Linked DNA regions of Oryctolagus cuniculus. The protein of the gene in region 2 purifies or fractionates together with the protein of the main gene of each other region. This does not show direct contact. Links are inferred from orthologs where the notes say so. Each region holds a gene or a part of one and is shown on either strand. Other genes may lie near its edges.

Region 1 (6,099 bases), on a different chromosome or scaffold from region 2:
GAATCCCTTCATGCATTTGGTAATTGAACAGATATTACAGAATGTCTAATTTGTGCTGAGAATGTTTAAAACACAGAGAATGTGAATGTGAGGGCCATCTGGCTGTGCCATTGATCATTAAGGTTGATTCTGCTGATCTAGCTGGCTACACAGATATTCCCTTCCTCTCTGCTCTAAAGTCAAGGCATATCAGTAGCTGTTAAAATATCCAAAAAAGCCCTCAAGGGATATACAGAAGTCTGTAAAGGACAGTGTTTAAAGATGCCTGCCCCAATCACTTTCTCATTACCCTATTGCTAGTATTTCAAAACACTTACTCACTGAAAGTAATTCATTTATTCATTTATATTATTTAGCATGTTTTTAGTACCAGAATGTAGCCATCAAGAGAGCTGAGATGGCTCTTCCTCCACTTCTCAACAGTGGTGGTATGCACCATAGATTTATAACAGGCTCCTTTCTATTTGCACCCTTATTATTTGGACAGAAATACTATAAAGTTTGACCCCATATGTATTCAGTGTTGAACTTTCCCCAAATCCCAAGCATACATATCCATTCCATATTCCTCCTTTCCCCTACTCCCACCACAATTCCTAACCTAGTGACGTTTTAGTCAGTCTCCTTATGCTTAGTAAATGACATTGTCATCTATTTACTTGGTGGACAATTAGGAGCTCAAGCCACAAATCCAGAATTTATCCCTGATTGCTGTTCTTCAAGTTACTAAAATTTTACTTCCAAAATATATCTCAAGATCCTCCTATGACTACTTCTGCTAAACCCTGTCAGGCTGTGTCTTTTCCCCTGGGCTTCCCCAGTAGCCCAACTTCATGCTTCTCCTATATTTTTTCACATGGCAATCAGAAAAATTTTCATACTAAAATTTGATCATGTCCTCATCTTCCCCAAATACACAACTACTAAACGTCTTTGCGGGGCCAGTGCCGTGGCTCACTTGGTTAATCCTCCGCCTGCAGCACCCGCATCCCATATGAGTGCCGGGTTTAGTCCCGGTTGCCCCTCTTCCAGGCCAGCTCTCTGCTGTGGCCCGGGAGAGCAGTGGAGGATGGCCCAAGTGCTTGGGCCCCTGCACCCGCATGGGAGACCAGGAGGAAGCACCTGGCTCCTGGCTTCGGATCAGCGCAGCGCGCTGGCCACAGCAGCCATTGGAGTGTGAACCAACGGTAAAAGGAAGACATTTCTCTCTGTCTCTCTCTCTCTCACTGTCTAACTCTGCCTGTCAATAAATAAATAAGTCTTCATTACCAATTGCTCTGCATAAAAGCAAGGATCTAAACAAACCTACAAGATTTACATATTGAGTCTCTACCTATTCAACTTTTTTTCCTTGCCAATTAATACTCCATGAGAACAGAATTTTGATGTATTGTTTACTGCTATCTCATTCACATTTATCCAAGGAGAAAATAAAAAGATCAAAGAAATACCTTGCTCCTTCACAGTGTAACAGCTGAACCTAATTTCACTTGGAGTGAAGGGTAGATTTCCGACCCTTTTGAGGTTATGCCTCACTATATTCAGAATCTAAGCAGAATAGTGGGTCACAGTACATACCCCATGTCAGAAGACCAGGGGTCAAATTTTAGCTTTCCCACTCTTTGTATATCCTCCCTTGAAAAAAAGACTACTTACCCATGCACCTAAAATGTATAAGGGTATTTCAAAAAGTTAATGGAAAATAACATGAAAATTTATTTTGGTGCAATTTTGAACTTGATATGCAGGCTTTTATGTACTTGTATGTGTAAAGACATTTATGCATTATGGCATGTCCTAGAGGCTGCCATTTCTGTGAAATGAATCGCTCACCCAAGGCAAAATGCTTGTAGCTATGTCCCTTGCAGTACCTTCTCCGGTTTACCAAAGGACTAGCTAACTCTAGTTATTTCACTGTCAGGACTGCAAAGGCACACTGCTTGTTCCCACACCAAGTTACATCCGCCAGCCTGTCCTATTCACTTCCCCGAGCCAGGGAATAGCCCAGAGGCACAGCCCCGGAGGCGCCGCGCCACGCCACGCCCAGACTCGCACACCCCACCGCGCAGGCGCGCAGTGAGTCCTGCAGTCCCGGGGCACAGACCCGCTGCCGCTCGGGCGGCGAGCTTCCCCGTTCTCTGAGTGCGAGCTTCTGGTAATTTTCATGCCTCTGTGAGCCGTGTTTGCTTTTAACACCTCTGGCGGCTACCTGGGATTTAACTCACTTTATTTGCCTTCACTGTCCGCACCTTGCCTTTCAGTGTGAGGCGTCCCGGACAGCTGCCGCTCGGCCGTGGCGCAGTTCTCGCGAGAAGGAGATCATCTCGCGGTGTTTCCTTGTTACCAGCGTCCTTAGCGCGAGGCGGAAAAGTGCTCGCTGGTGTCGGCTTCTGTTGATGCCGCTGCTTCGCGTCGGGAGGCTTCTTCCTGCGACTTATCTGTTGCCGCTTTTCCAAGGAAAATGGCGGCCCCCGAGCAGCCGCTGCTCGTATCAAGAGGATGCACAAGCTCTACGCTGTCCCCGCCGCGAGGCGACCGAACCCTTCTGGTGAGGCACTTGCCAGCAGAGCTGACCGCTGAGGAGAAAGAGGACTTGCTGAAGTATTTCGGGGCGCAGTCCGTGCGTGTCCTGTCAGATAAGGGGCGACTGGTAAGGTTGTGCGTCCTCCTGAGTATCGCGTGTAGCCCTTGAGTGCTTACCGGGCGGGGGAGGCGCTGACGAAAGGGGCGGAAACGAGTGGAGACGAGGGGCTTGTGTGAGCGGAGGGGCCTCAGCTTCCCCCTTTTACGTCAAAATATCTTGTGTGCGAGGGGGAGTTTGAATTGGCTTGGGTCCGGATTTCGTCACAGCACCGCCAAGAGTGAGAAAGTGAAAAGAGTAGAAATGAAAATAGCTTTATTGTATTCCCGTTGTTGACCAGTCTCCGAATTTCTCAACGCCTCTGAATTTGGGGTACTGGGAGTATTCTTAGGAATAGGTAACAAAGGAGTTTTTAAAAGTTCAGGCTCATTTAGAAACCGTTGTCAAAACACTGATCAGAATAGAGCAGAAAGTGCAATAGCTGTTTGAGTAAACTAGATAGAGGATTTCTGCTAAGTTTTTGACCCAGGTGCTTTTTCATCAAGATTTCCCTACGGGATCTTTTAGGGAAAAATACTTTAACACTTAATAATTCCTACCCACGAATTTGTACAGTTTTATACTTGATGTTTTAGGTAATTTTCTCTTAGTTAAAATAGTAATGGCACTATTCAGTTGCTGCAAAATGATCTGTGATGGGGCAAGACGTCAATGTTTTTAAAAAGTCTCTCCAAGAGACTCCAGTGTGTAGCCAGGAGTGAGAATCCCTAAGTTGGAAGAAAGACCGGTTTTGATGAGTTTGAGTATTACGCATTTCGAGCAAATACAAGTAAAATACCGCATCTGGTTCAACTGAAGTACACTTAGTTAGATCATCTTGGATCTAATTAGATAAAATTGGGACGTGTGATGTAAGTAAGCAACACTTAATAAGCATTTACAAGAACTCAGTATAGTGTATAGTGTAGGTGTATTGTAAATAGGGGCTATTTTATATTTTTAGATGGGTTAAGAGTGATCCTCTGAGGATAGTAGGGGTTTTTAAACTTCAGATATGTTTCACAATTTATATAAATAAAGCCTGCATGGAGTATGTTTATACCTTTATATGAAAAATGTTGCATAGCTTTCATCTCAAAAAGTCCGACCCAAAAAAAGACTCAAAATCACTGAACTGAAATCAGTCATCAGTTTAAATGTACCATCATTTTATTAATGTGCCACATTCCTCCATTAGTACTGTTAGGAAAATGGCACAGTCTTATCTATGGCACAATCTACTCCCTGACACCATCCTAGGCTTTATTGCTGGATGCCAGGTGGGCATATGGCCCAATCACCAATGTCAAGCTCCACCCCCATCCTAATTGGATTCCCTGCTACTTCCCTGCCTGTCCTCCACAAAGTTTTAAAAGGACCTGTTCCTGAACACGTCTCTCTCTCCTTCCACTCTCCCCTCCTCTCTCTCTCTTGCTCGTTCTCTCTTGCCCCTCTCCTTTCTCTCTCTCCCCCTCTCCATCTCCTGCCCCCTGTCTCTCACACTCTCCTTTTCCCTCTTTTCCTTCTTTGCCCCTTCCTTCTGGTCTGTCGGGTTTCCCCCAATAAACTCTTTCCCTTACTCCGGTGTTTGGTGTGTTTTGTGGCAGCCTTACAAGTACAACATCAGATTTCTTTATGGGTAACTGAAATTATACTGGAAGTAATTTGTACCTTAAATTTGTTTCAGAAACATACAGCTTTTGCTACTTTCCCTAATGAAAAAGCAGCCATAAAGGTATGATTTTCTTTACTATTGAAGTTATCAACAATTTCCTGTATCTAATCTTGGTACAAAAATGGGAAGAACTATTAAACTTTAGTTTTTAAAAACTTTCAAAAGAGTTAACATTCCATGTGTTTGCCCAACAGACTATATTTGTTTTGGCAATTAACAGATCTTTTTGTCTAACATTTAGGTAATGGTATGTAAGAATAGTGAAATAAATCAAAATTAGCAGCATATATAACTAAAAAAATGGCAAGTTCAAAGCATGTGAAGATAACTAACTGTTGGGAAGCAAAATGGTTTACGTATTAAAGGAGAGTGAATATACACACAGAGAGTACTTCAAAAAGTTGAGCAAAAAGCATGTTAGAAAAACTATGCATAGATTTCAAGAAGCTTTCAAAGCAGTAAATTTACCTTTGAATTCCATTTTTCCATTAACTTTGTGAAGTCTCAGAATCATTTGCAAAGTAAGTGGCCTTTCACATAATCTCTAATGTTTGGTTGTTTTTTGAGAGATCAAGCGAGATGGACCTTGCAGATTTGAGGTACACAAAGTAAAGATTTAGGACATGGAAATGTGTAAGTAGGTCAAGGGCTAAGGGTTGTGATGGAAATAGGAATGGAAAAATAGACTGAGTAGAAGAGACATATACTAAAGGCACTTGATACTTTTGACCTAGCTAATAATATGAACAGGCCTGTGAAAGATACTTGGTGGAATTTATATCATGGATCCAGTGTGGAGAAATATTAAATATAGCAAGTCCAAATAGAAAGCTGTTAAAATGGCCAGGGTGAGAATAAGTATCTGAAGAAGGTGATCCAGTGACAAAGGGTAAAGAAGTATACTTGATAAAGATCATGTTGGTAGGCCTTGTGATGTAGGGTTGAAAGAGTGAATAGTTCAGATATGTGGACTGAGTTGTTAGGTTGTCAGATTAGCTTCTCTGGGCAGTGAGAGTAGGAAGATGTTTACAAAGGTACATAATGAATTCAAATGTCATTTGTTAACTTTGAAAAGTCCTTGCTACTTCAATGGAAAGAGCTAGTAAACATTTAAAAATATTAGCCTAGAGCTGAGGCAAGGTCAAGAACTCAGATTCTTCAACCTTATGAATAGATACTACCAAATGAAAGGTGAACTAGTAGAAAAGACTGGGTGAGAGTAGTATTTTTTTTTAAAAGAAAAATGTAGAATTAGGAAATAAATTACCATGGATGTAGAGAGTAGTTTTAAGAAAATGAGATCCAGTGATGACACAAAATGCAGAATGAACAAAATGTAATAGTTAGTGATTTTTATTATGAAACAGAAGTGACCCAAATTCTCATCAGTAAGGGAAACAGATACTTCAAATGGTTATGCGGAGTGAGCATCCATAAATTGAAAATCTGAAATACCCCAAAATTTGAAACTTTTGAATGACAATATGGTGCCATGAGTGGAGGAAAAGCTACATCTAACATCATGTGACAGTTGTAGTAAAAATGCAGGTGCACTAAAAATATTGTGTACAGTTACCTATAGACTATGAGTATTACAAGGTTTATATGAAACACATATGAATTTAACATGTTGAATTGGGTCTCATCCCTTAATATACCTCATTATGTATATGCAAATATTCCAAAATCTGCAATCTAAAACACTTCTGTACTAACCATTTTGGATAAGGGATATTTAATCTGTATATCCATATAATGGATTCCCAGCTATAGATGTATTAGTAAATGGTAATAGCCCAGATAG
Region 2 (6,099 bases):
CGGCGCTTCAGGCCAGGGCGTTAACCCATTGCGCCACAGCACCGGCTCCATGATATGTGAATTTCAACTCAACCTTTTAAAAGTTAAATAATGTATACAGTCAAAAGCCTCATCCTTGTCTGGTTTCAGCAGTTCCCACTACACCCTCAGATAAGCAATGCATGTGGCGTCTTAGGAGTTCTCCAGTGCATTCATGCACCTGCAAACACCCGGACACACTGCCCCCCCCCACCTTTTATAAACCCAGGTGTTTATAAGGTGTTGTGCAGTGTGTGCTTTTCTTAGCAATTTATCTTGGGGCTACTTCTGTGGCCTTGACACTTTAGAACACTAGAGGCTAGTTGTTGATCTTTTCTAAATATTTACTCAAAAGGCTGAAGGGGGTATCTTTCTCCCTCTGGCTCACTCCCCAGATGTCCACAACAGCCAAGGTCGGGTCAGGCTGAAGCCAGGAGCCCTGAATACAACCAGGTCTCCAGATGGGTGGGAGGGACCCAAGTACTTGAGCCATCATTTGTGCCCTCCCAGGGTGCACATTAGCAGGCAACCGGAAGGAGAAGTGGATCAGGGACTCAAGGCCAGGCTCTCTGACAGGTGTTGCGGGTGTCCTTGGTGGCACCTCATCTGCTGAGACAAATGCCTGTCCCTGGGGCCAGTTGTTTAGTAAAGTCTCTCAGTCTGGTTTGTCTGGTATTTCCAGACTATTACATTCCTGTTACGTCTTTGGTATGAGCACCACGGAAATGCACCTGCTCTTTGCATCTTACCTAGTGGTACACATACTTTGGATTTGTCCCATTGTTCACAATCATCATTTGAGCATTGGATTAAAGTGACGGCTACCAGGCTTCCTCACTGTAGTTACTTTCCCTCCTTTGCAATTAGTGTTTCTTGGAAGAGTGCCTTGAAACTGCATTAGCTATCCCATTCCAAATCAGACTTTCTCCATTTATTCACTGTGGACTCATGGATTCCTGTTATATTCAGTGGGTCGTAATTCATGGCTGTCTTTACATATTTGATGTTCAAGTTGTCAAAATTGGGACATCCTTTTGAATGACCCCGTCACTCTGAGCATTTTTCCTACTTCTGCATAACAAGACACTCCAGGCTCATTTTGTGCAGGCTGGAATGTAGCCAATTTTCTAAAGTTGCTGAAAGGTGGCTTTATGAAGTAGAGAAAGCAGTTTTGGGGTTAAAATCCAGCTACGTGCCTCTGGGCAAGTTCTCTGCCAAGTCTGTTTTTCTCATCTCAGCTGTAACTTCAGATCACACTGTGTGATTTCTATAATAATTGGGAAAGAGCCGGACATAAAGTTAGGAACTAAAGATTATAGCAAAGTTAAAGATGCAGGGGTGTAACATCTGGCATAGCGCCTAAGACGCCCACATCCCAGATGGGAGTGTCTGGCTTGGAGTCCCCGCTGGGTTTCTGACCCAGCTTCCTGCTAATGCACCCTGGGAGGCAGCAGGTGATGGCTCAAGTAGTTTGGGTCCCTTCCACTCACTTGGGAGTTCCCAGCCCCCGGCTTCAGCCTGGCTTGTTGCGGGTGTTTGGGGAGTTGAGCCAGTAGGTCCAAGAGCGTGTACGCTCTCTGTCTCGCTCTCGCTCTCTCATAAAGAAAATTAAGAATTTTTTTTCTTAAAAGCTGAAGATCCACGACACGATGACTAACCAGAAAAAACCCAGTGCACTTTGGGGTAAATAATTCTAACAGCTATTCGGTCTACACCACACTGATGATCACCCTGACTTGCTGCTCATCATTTAAACCGACAACACGTAAGTCACAGCGAGCATCTCCTGAAAGCTCAAGTCCAAACGCATCTTCTGGGGGGTGTCCAGCAGCAGGCGGTCCTCCTCCAAGCGCCAGTTCTCCGAGATCTGCATTCAGCACCTCCCATCCGGGCTAGTCCAGCGTCGGTCGCGCGGAGAGGGGCTGGCGGCTGCGTCGCGGGCACCGATCAGCCCGTGCTGCCGCAGGTGCTCCCCAGGCCGGCGGGGCCGGGGGCCCGCGGGCAACGCCCCGGGGGAGGTCCTGGCTCCTAGTCTGCAAAGAATTCTGCCGCGGCCCCTCCGTTTCACCTCCCCGCCTCCAGGCCCGCTCCTCTCATTTCCTCTTAGAACGCTGAAACGGGTGCTACCGAATAGACAACCTTCAGGTCGAAGGGGGCTGTGGCAGAGGCGCCCCCAAATCGCGGTACCCGGGGACCTGAGAGCCCCGAACGCGTTCTCACCGTTGTAAACTAACAAAGCGACCCCCCATTAGCCAAGCTGCCGAGAAATCACGTGTGCGCCACAGGGTACGCGGCCTCTCACAGCCGGTTCTTCAAGGCAGGGGAGAAGACTAGTAACGCCGAACGCGTCTCTGGTTGCTGGGAGACACGGCTGCGCCATCTCCTCCAATCAGCACACGCCTCTTTTTGACCAATCATAGAAGGCGAAAGAGCGGTGGTGGGAGGTGAAAGGTCAAGCTGAGGTTTGGCGGCCATTTCTCTTGCAACTTCGGAGGTCTGGGCCTTGGGGGAAGCTGCTCCGAGCACGCGGGACGGGCTGTATCTGCGTCGGCGGCGTCTAATCCGCAACGTTAGCCCGAAGTCGTGATGGTAAGGAGAGGGAGGACTGCTGGAGTCGCGAGACGGAGAGGGCGGGAAGGCAACTTCGGGCTGGCTGAGCCTGGTGGCGGCTTCGCGCCTTTCCCATTCATCCGCGAGGCGCAGCGCACCGGGGCGCCAGTCTGCGGGTTCCGCGGACGCGCGCGAGTCCCTTCCTGGCTGGGACGACCCTCGCCTCCTGCTGCCTCTTCTTTCTGAGTCCAGGGAAGAAAGAGGTAGTCGGGGTGGATGTAGCAAACGCTGAAGCGGTTTGCGTTTCCCACTTCGTCGCACTCATGAAGCCGCTTTTATTCCGTCGGTGATGTTTCTCCAGCCCGCCTTGGCCCAGGCCCCGGAGCGTTCGTGTATTCGTTCTGACGCTTATTGAGCGCCGGCGACTTGGCCAGGTTGAGTCTTGGGCTCCAGGACTAGAGACTGAGAAGTGCCCATGCGGACCCTGCACCGGCCGAGCTGGGCGGGGTGTGAGAGACAGACGTCCGTCAGGCGCTGTTCACCGAAATGGGCACCGGCCTAGACGGGAGCGGGCGGGAGGCTGCGGCCCCGGGGCGCTGGGGCGCCTTCCGCGGCTGCCCCCGGAGGGGGGCTTTCACCCGAGCCCGGGTGACAGGAAATGGGGCTCCGGAACGATGAGGGAGGGACAGCTACACTCGTGGTGGGTGTTGGCCGAAAGCGGCCACCGCTTGCGAGAGCGCCAGGACCTGGGCAGCGTGTGGAGGGTCTACCCCGGCGCCCTCGGCAGCCGTCGGAGCTTTCTCATCAGGCCCGATGGGATGCGCTCTGGCACACGTCGTAGCGGCTGTGTGCTCGCTGCGCCCGAGAAGTGGGGAGCTGGGGGCCGTTAGGCGGTTATTGCGGGTGGAGCCCTCCTACTTTTCCCGCGATTTAGTAGCGGTGTCTGGGTTCTTCCTCGGGGTGAGGAGGTGAGCGCGGAGAGACTCGGTTCGCCGGCGATGCACCGGTCGGGTGAGGACCGAGCCCTGCCGAGCTTGGTCCTGCCCCGAGTGGGATGCTGACCGTACTGCTTGTTCTCGGGATGACGCGCGCAAGCGCACACATACACACGGTCATTCCAGATGGGAAGCCTCCCTGGCCTCCAGCGGTCCCCTTTCCCTCTGGAATAGACTTCACCCTTTAAAACGGAGGCATTGCTCCTACCAGGCAGCCCGTTCCTGTCTTTTTTCCTGAGTTGGTTGGGCCTTTCTGCATAGCATCGCTCTTACTGCTTTGCAATATAATTGTCTGTATGTCTGCAGCGCCACACCCCCACCCTGGCTTCTTAAGGACAGAGCCTCGTTACACGTTTGTTGTAGGGCTTTCATCTTTGTTTCCTTAGAGCTTGCGACACTGAGGACTGCAGGTGCCGCTTGTCTCCTAAGTGCAGCGTGAACACTTATTTTTTTGTGATGGGTTGAAGACGAAATGGGATAACTGGTTAAATTTCCCAGATGCTAGCCGGCGCCGTGGCTCACTAGGCTAATCCTCCACCTTGCGGCGCTGGCACACCGGGTTCTAGTCCCGGTTGGGGCGCCGGATTCTGTCCCGGTTGCCCCTCTTCCAGGCCAGCTCTCTGCTGTGGCCCGGGAGTGCAGTGGAGGATGGCCCAAGTGCTTGGGCCCTGCACCCCATGGGAGACCAGGAAAAGCACCTGGATCCTGGCTCCTGCCATCAGATCGGTGCGCCGGCTGCAGCGGCGGCCATTGGAGGGTGAACCAACGGCAAAGGAAGACCTTTCTCTCTCTGTCTCTCTCTCACTGTCCACTCTGCCTGTCAAAAAAAAAAAAAAAATTTCCCAGATGCTCTTCAACAAACAAAAGTGGAAATTAGGTAGTAGAGTGATAGGGAGTGAAGAGTTTGCTTCATTTGGATGTTACAAAATATTGATTGGTGGATTGGTAGAGGAGAGTGAGGAGTGGAAGCCAAGTTAAGGAAAAAAAAAAATCAATGGATTTTTTGTTTGTTTGTTTTGTGCAGAGTTTACCCCTCAATCCCAAACCTTTCCTCAATGGATTAACAGGGAAGCCCGTGATGGTGAAACTCAAGTGGGGAATGGAGTACAAGGGCTACCTGGTGTCTGTAGACGGCTATATGAACATGCAGGTAAGCTAGAGGTGAAAGGGTGGTGACACTGTGTTTCTTCTGTTCCACTTTATTCCTCCAAGGTTTCGTGTGACTAATAATTCATACAGTTGGCAAAGATAGAACAAAATTCAGGAATGAAGTCAAGGCCAGGGAGGATGTTACAACTGATAGACTAGGTACAAGACACGGGGTTAGGCCAGGATTCACAGACCTTACTCGTGGTGGGTAAAGTGAGGAGGACTCAGGCATTTGATTATTCATATAATAAGGGAAATACATGAGTTGCTTTCAAAAGCAAACCTTTTTCCAGCGCTTAAATCTGATATTTTTCAAGTGAAATTCTTGTCTCTTAATGAATGCTAAAGGCACAACATTAATGTAATCAACTAGAAGCATTTCTTCAGAGGGAAGACAGATTAGCTGAAAGAATTGATGAACTATGTTGGTTAAACTAGTTGTAAATGATTTTGCCAGTGAGGGGGGGGATTTGGTGTGAATTTTTTTATTGTGATAAAATATACATAAAAATTTGGCCACTTTAACCATTTTTAAAGATGTCACTCAGTAATAGTATGTGAGAACATTGTTTTGCAGCTACCACTAGTACCCAATTTCAGAACTTTTTCATTATCCTAAAGTGGAACTCTGTACCCATTAAGCAGTAACACCCCCGTACCCCAGATTCTAGCTGTTGGTAACCACTTTTCTACTTTGTGAATTTAATCATTTTGGGAAGAATCATATAGTCAGTACCAAACATATACAGGCCTTTGTTTCTTGTCATTTCCTAAACAAGACATTATAGCATTTTTACATAGCATTTACATTGTAGTAGGGAACATAAGTAATCTAGGCATGATTTAACGTATATGAGAGCATGTGCATAGTTCATATGTAGGTACTGTGCTCTTTTACAGAGAGGGACTTAAGCACCCTCAGATTTTGGTATCCTTGGTCACAGGGAGCAGAGAGGGTGTTCGGAAACCAATCTCCCAGATTCCAAGGGATGATTGTATCTTTTTGTGTTTGGCTTGTTTCACTTAGCACAGTGTACTCAGGGGTCACCCATGTCGTACAGCCATGTGTCAGATTTCATGCCTTTTATGACTGAGAAAGACTCCATTGTATGGATGTGCCACACTAACCCATTCACCTCCTGTGGACACTTAGATTGCGTCTTCCTTTTGGCTACTGTAAATGATGTTACTATGAACATGGGTGTATATTCGAGTCCCTGCTGTCAGAAGTGGGATTGCTGGGTCATATGGCAGTTCTGTGTTTGAGGACCTGCCACACTGTTTTCTATATAGCAGCTTTGGTTTTGCATTTCCCCCAGCAAGTATAAAGGTTCCAGTGGGGTCGAATTAGTATCTCATTGTGGATTTGATTTGGATTTCTTTATTT
Region 3 (6,005 bases), on a different chromosome or scaffold from region 2:
TGCTGTTGTCCCTGGGCCGTCTCCTGCCGTGTTATTTGATGAAGGGGTTTGGGGCCGGGATTAGGGTGCAGGGTGGGAAGGAGCCAGGGCCTGGGTCTCCGGTGATCTCTGCAGACGGGTACTCCCTGGCCTTTGGTCTGCCTCTCAGTCACTCGACAAACACTGGTTGAGCTGCTCCAGCTTTGCCTGGGACCTGGCTTCCCGGAGTCCTCTGTGCACTGCCAGCAGCACCCGGATCTCCTTCCCAAAGCGCTCGTGCAGCTCCTGGAAGCTGGAGTGGGGCCCGAGGATGGCTAGAAAGCCACAGTCCTCGGCGGGGCACCTGGGTTCTTGGCCAGCCGCCTGGCAGAGCTCCCGGTACTGGGCCTCCATGGGGGGAAGCAGCCTAGCCAGCCGCCTCCAGCTCACCCCGGCCAGCGCCCACAGCCAAGCCCTCAGCTCCTCCTGGCTTTCTGCGGCCAGCTTGTAGGCCCGCCCCCCTGTGCCCTCTCCCCCGGGGGTCACGATGGTGAAGGCGAAGGGCTCTGCGGCCTTAAGGCGAGGCTCCACCCGGCAGCTCTCCAACAGGATGAGGCCCAGGGGAGTGTGGGCTTCCTGGTGTTCCAGGTAGAAGAGGAGGTTTCCACGGAGGACAAACCAGCGGCGCTGGTAGCTGCTGTTTCGGGCCCCCTTCTTCAGCAAGATGCCCTCCTGGTCTGGGGCCTGGGCTCTGCAGCCTTGGAAGAAACTGAGCACAGACTTGCGGTGCAGTTTCATGGTGGTGGCCCTGGAGGGACCCTGGGGGAGAGAGGAGTGGTCCCCTGGTTGCCTGGGAGGATGCTCACGCCCTCCTAGCTCCAGCAGGCTCTGCCTGGGCACAGTCTTGGCCTGCACACCCTTGGGCGTTAGCTGTCTTGTCCCACCACCCAGGGCCAGGCCCGCCCACCTCCCCGCCTCAAATCCCATCACCTAGGCAGGGTCGCTGGGCCCTGATTGCTAAGGGGGCGGGGGCTTCATCCCACCGCTGTGGTGCCGGAGGGACCATTGCCCTTTCCTAGGCCTACCTGAGAGCAGGCACAGGGGCTTCTGGGCTGGCCACAGGGCACCCGCGACAATGCCACCTCTGCAGCAGTGGCTGCCCCGCCTCAGAAATCAGGAACTGGCTCCGCGGACAGGCGTGGAGCACGTGATTTCCCCTGGGTCCTAAAGGCGGCTGGGTTCTGAAAGTGTCCCAAGTGCCCTCAGAGGCCATCAGGTGAGCCTGGCTTCCCTTAGGGAGAAGAGCAGGGCCGCGCCTCACGCTAGGAGAGGGCGCAGCTCTGACAAGTGTAAGGCACTTGGCCAGTCTGCGGGAAACGGTGGTGCGAACCCCGGAAGGGGCACCTGGGGCTGGAACCCATCGGCTCTGCTCCTCCTCTGCCCCTCCATCCTGACCCTGGGCTCCCCTCTAAGTGGAGTTGCATCCCCCAGAGGCTGCGTGAGGGCATCGAAGCCACTTCGGGGCATCCTCCGCGCCGATCAGGGTCTAGGCGCCCGCACACTCCTCGCCGCTGCAGACCCGCGCGGCTCACGTCACTCCTGGCGGGGGACAGGGTTGGAGGTTGCCGCCTAGCTCACTACCTACTTCCGCCCGCTCTTCCTGTTAGTCCTTCAAGTGGAGTGAAGCCACTTCCGGCCTCCGCCGTACGCTTCCGGGTGATGGCGGCCAGGTGCCCCGGATACAGCCCTGGTGAAAGCATCTCTCCTTTTCTTCCCCTGCCTCCCCTAGATCCCCAGGTGAGCGCGCGCGGGGCTGGCTGCCGGAGTCCCCGTGGCTGTGCCGCCCTCTAATCTGTACACACCCCGGGACAGTTGGGGGGTCAACCACGTGGAATTGGGAGTTCGGCGCGAGGAGGAGGAGCAGAGCGGCCGGGAGCGCCAGGTCCTGGGTCGGCCCGGGCCCCGCGGGCTCCGAGGGCTTTGGGGTTGCGGGAGCGGGTGTGTGTGCCCGCCGAGCCCGGTAGCGCTCAGACTGCGGAGGCCGGATATGGGCGTGGTCACGTGGGGGAGCCGGGCCCCTGTCGTCGGGGTGGGGATACTCCCCGCGTCTGGCCTGGCGTCCCAGCTCCGTTAGCTCTGGGATGGCGAGCCGAGGCCGTGGGAGCCTCCGGGCTGCAGCTCCCGCTCTGGCCCCCGATTCTCTGTGCTCTTCCCTCCCAATGGACCTGGCACGCACCAGGAAGCGTGTCCTGTGGCCAGGGTTCTCTTGCAGTGGGTGGCCTCCCGCTCAGGCCGCTTCCTCTGCAACTTTTCCCCCATCAGGTTAAGGGAAGCCCCCCTGGCCCGTCATGCCAAAGCGGAAAGTGACCTTCCAAGGCGTGGGAGACGAGGATGAGGATGAAGTCAGTGTTCCCAGGAAGAAGGTGAGGGGGCCAGACCGTTTTGTTGGGGGGAGGGGAGGCAGAGCGGAGCCTGAAGAGGAGGGCAGGTCCCCCAGGACTGGGTTTGGAGGGTGCTCAGCTTGGGTGCAGATGCTGGAGTCTGGGAGGAGCTGAGAATTCTGCATTTCTCCCTTCCTGCTCTCAGCTGGTGGACCCCGTGACTGGGCCCGGGGGTCCCGGGAGCCGCTTCAAAGGCAAGCACTCCTTGGACAGCGATGAAGAGGATGATGACGACGAGGGGTCCAGCAAGTATGACATCCTGGCCTCAGAGGATGTGGAAGGTGAGTAGCACCCAGGGAGGGACGAGTGGGGACTTGAGGGAGGGAGGTTCCTGTCTCTCTCTTTTTTTTGCATGCCTCGCATGGGGCGACTCTGTCTCTGATGCAGGTCAGGAAGCAGCCACGCTCCCCAGTGAGGGAGGGGTGCGCATCACTCCCTTCAACCTGCAGGAGGAGATGGAGGAAGGCCACTTTGATGCCGATGGCAACTACTTCCTGAACCGGGACGCTCAAATCCAGGACAGCTGGCTGGACAATATTGATTGGGTGCGGCCCAGGGCTCAGCACGGCTGGGGTGGGGTGGGGGGGCTGGATCTGGGCTCCTGGAGCAGGTTTGTAGGAAACAACCCCCTGCAGCCCCCGACCCTGACCCCTTTCTTGCATTCTAGGTGAAGATCAGGGAGCGGCCCCCGGATCAGCGCCGGGCTTCAGACTCGGAGGAGGAGGACAGCCTGGGCCAGACACCACTGAGCGCCCAAGCCCTCCTCGAGGGACTTCTAGAGCTGCTGCTGCCCAGGGAGACAGTGGCCGGGGCACTGAGGCGGCTGGGGGCCCGAGGAGGGGGCAAAGGGAACAGCAAGGGGCCCGGGCGGCCCAGTTCCCCCCAGCGCCTGGACCGGCTGTCTGGGTTGGCTGACCAGATGGTGGCCCGGGGCAACCTTGGCGTTTACCAGGAAACTCGAGAGCGCCTGGCCATGCGGCTGAAGGGGTTGGGGTGTCGGACCCAGGGGGCCCAGGATTCCACGCCCCCGCCCTCCCTGGACATGTTTGCGGAGGAGGTGGCTGAGGGGGAGCTGGAGACCCCGACCCCTCCCCAGAGAGAAGGTGAGCTTTGGAGGGCAGAGGAGGGGCAGCGGTGTGGACTGGAGGCCGGGCAGTGGAGCTCCAATCGGCTCCGCCTCTGGTTGCAGAGGCAGAGTCGGCGGGCGACGGCCTGGTGGACGTGATGTGGGAATATAAGTGGGAGAACACCGGGGAGGCCGAGCTCTACGGACCCTTCACCAGTGCCCAGATGCAGGTGAGCGCCCCCCCCCCTCCCCCGCACGCCCCGCCCCACCCCCGGCCCGCCCCGCCCCGCCGTGTCAGCCCCGCCCTGTCTACCTGCAGACCTGGGTGAGCGAAGGCTACTTCCCAGACGGAGTCTACTGCCGGAAGCTGGATCCCCCGGGTGGTCAGTTCTACAACTCCAAACGCATCGACTTCGACCTCTACACCTGAGCCTGCGGAGGGCCCAGTTGGGCGCCCCCCCCACCTCCCCCGTTCTCTGCTGGACTTTGGGGGAGCCGGCCCCCAGCTGCCTTGGGCAGGGAGAAGATTGGAGGCTACTTTTCAATTTCTGTTTTTCCCAATAAAATGCCTTTAGTGGTGTGCGAGGGCCTCGGCTGTGCTGACGGCCAGGAGCCGGGGGCCGTCTCCACAGCCCTTCAGACTGTTATGTGTTTGTACGCTTTTTCCTCTGCCGTGGTCTCTCCCCGGTGCCTTGAACCCTCCTCACCTTCGTTTCCCGCCTCCCTGACTGGCAGGTGTCCTGTGTGGGCCCCGCCCTGATCTGCGCCTGCGCGGGCTTCTCGCTGTGCTGACCTCGCCTCCTCTGTCCTCACAGCCGCTGGGGACCTGAGCCCCGGGCCCAGGAATTGCAGGTGTTAGTGGGACGTCTCGAAGACCAAGGATGAGCAGGAATTCTCTTTTTTTTAATTTTTTTAAAAAAGATTTATTTATTTATTTGAAAGTCAGAATTACACAGAGAGAGGTCTTCCATCCGCTGGTTCACTCCCCAGTTGGCTGCAACGGCTGGAGCTGAGCCAATCCAAAGCCAGGAGCCAGGAGCTTCTTCCGGGTCTCCCACGTGGGTGCAGGGGCCCAGGGACTTGGGCCATCTTCTACTTCTTTCCCAGGCCATAGCAGAGAGCTAGATTGGAAGTGGAGCAGCTGGGACTAGAACCAGCACCCATATGGGATGCTGGCGCTTCAGGCCAGGGCATTAACCTGCTGTGCCACAGCGCTGCCCCCCCCCCCCCCTTTTTTTTTAAGGTTTATTTATTTGAGAGGCAGAGTTACAGACAGACAGGGAGGGAGGGGTTTTCCATCCGCTGTTTCACTCCCCTAATAGCCACAATGGCTGGAACTGAGCCGATCTGGAGCCAGGAGCTTCTTCTGGGTCTCCCACGTGGGTGCAGGGACCCAAAGGCTTGGGCCATCTTCTGCTGCTTTTCCCAGGCCATAGCAGAGAGCTGGATCGGAAGTGGAGCAGCCGGTAATTGAACCTGTGCCCATGTGGGATCCCGGCACTGCAGGTGGAAGCTTAACCTACTACACCACAGCGCTGGCCCCAGGAATCCCCCTACTGGCTCTCCTCCCTCTTAGGAAGGGGCTAGGTGAGCCAAGGTCAGCCCAAGCCCCAACATTTTCCCTGATGCGTCTGTCTGCGGCGTTGGGGGTTCCCGTCGCTGGGGTGTGAACTTCACGTCCACTGGAAGAGCCCCTCGGGCCACCTGGGCCGGCCCTGCCTTGTAGGGACCGAGAGAGGGGCAGTGACGCATCGGAGGACACACAGAGGGCTGGCCCACACCCAGTGAGTTCCTTTCCCAGGCCTCTCTTGGCACAAAGCCGCTTCTGCCTGGCCTTGGAGGCGTGGCAGCTTCCTCCCCCCGGGCGCCCACAATGTGCTTGGCCCAGGGCTGGCGCCTGAGGAAGCCCAGATAACCGGGGTTCTGCGTCTGCTGGAAGGGGATCATGGAGTCTGGCCCTGACAACCCCTCCCCCCCACCAGCCCCACTGGAGCTGCCCTTGGCCTCTCCTCGCGTGCGCCAGCGTAGATTGAGCCTTTTTCCACAGTGCCTGCCCCTTGGAATCTGCTTGGGCACCGAGCAGTGCTCCCCCTTGGGCTCCGATTGGCTTGATCCAGGCTGTGGCCAGGCCTCCGGTCTTTTCTTTGGGTCCCTAGTTTCAGCCAGGCAGGACCCTGCTGGAGGTGTGGAGTTGAGTGACAATGGAGCCTCTGAGGGCCACACCCTAGCTAGGCCAGGCACTGGGAGACTGGGGGGCTGTGTGGATGCTTTAACCATCCAGCAAATGCCCCTACCCCTCAACTTCTATAAGAAGTTGAAATACAAGTTCACCCTGTTGCAAAAAAGTGTTTGAAATCCATGCATTCCGGGGAGCTCCGGAAGTTCACGGCAAGTGTGTATTATGCAAGAACCGCATGAATTTCAAAATTTCTTGCTCAGAACACTTTAAAAAAAAAAGATTTATTTGAGAGAGAGATCTTCCATCTACTGGTTCACTCCCCAAATGGCTGCAATGGCTGATCAAGAGCCAGGAGCTTCTT

The links. The genes of interacting proteins can lie anywhere in the genome.
Region 1: the proteins of SNRPF (region 2) and RNPC3 purify together in Homo sapiens (co-immunoprecipitation; 3 studies listed by BioGRID and IntAct, counting the BioPlex papers as one, with this or other methods). This does not show direct contact. The link is inferred for Oryctolagus cuniculus from reciprocal best matches to the Homo sapiens genes SNRPF and RNPC3.
Region 3: the proteins of SNRPF (region 2) and CD2BP2 purify together in Homo sapiens (affinity purification with mass spectrometry; 4 studies listed by BioGRID and IntAct, counting the BioPlex papers as one, with this or other methods). This does not show direct contact. The link is inferred for Oryctolagus cuniculus from reciprocal best matches to the Homo sapiens genes SNRPF and CD2BP2.

The regions. Positions count from the first base shown.
Region 1 is NC_091438.1:66,820,807-66,826,905, reverse strand, and holds the start of RNPC3 (RNA-binding region-containing protein 3), read left to right. Parts: upstream 1-2,357; 5' UTR 2,358-2,461; coding exon 2,462-2,650; intron 2,651-4,307; coding exon 4,308-4,355; intron 4,356-6,099. UniProt on the Homo sapiens protein: Participates in pre-mRNA U12-dependent splicing, performed by the minor spliceosome which removes U12-type introns. U12-type introns comprises less than 1% of all non-coding sequences. Binds to the 3'-stem-loop of m(7)G-capped U12 snRNA.
Region 2 is NC_091442.1:98,722,658-98,728,756, forward strand, and holds the start of SNRPF (small nuclear ribonucleoprotein F), read left to right. Parts: upstream 1-2,467; 5' UTR 2,468-2,604; coding exon 2,605-2,607; intron 2,608-4,587; coding exon 4,588-4,713; intron 4,714-6,099. UniProt on the Homo sapiens protein: Plays a role in pre-mRNA splicing as a core component of the spliceosomal U1, U2, U4 and U5 small nuclear ribonucleoproteins (snRNPs), the building blocks of the spliceosome.
Region 3 is NC_091450.1:6,706,168-6,712,172, forward strand, and holds CD2BP2 (CD2 antigen cytoplasmic tail-binding protein 2), read left to right. Parts: upstream 1-1,625; 5' UTR 1,626-1,755; exon of another isoform or gene 1,756-1,900; intron 1,901-2,011; exon of another isoform or gene 2,012-2,280; 5' UTR 2,281-2,306; coding exon 2,307-2,381; intron 2,382-2,544; coding exon 2,545-2,680; intron 2,681-2,786; coding exon 2,787-2,944; intron 2,945-3,066; coding exon 3,067-3,502; intron 3,503-3,588; coding exon 3,589-3,695; intron 3,696-3,784; coding exon 3,785-3,895; 3' UTR 3,896-4,112; downstream 4,113-6,005. Other genes in the region: sesquipedalian-1, read right to left, coding at 145-756. UniProt on the Homo sapiens protein: Involved in pre-mRNA splicing as component of the U5 snRNP complex that is involved in spliceosome assembly.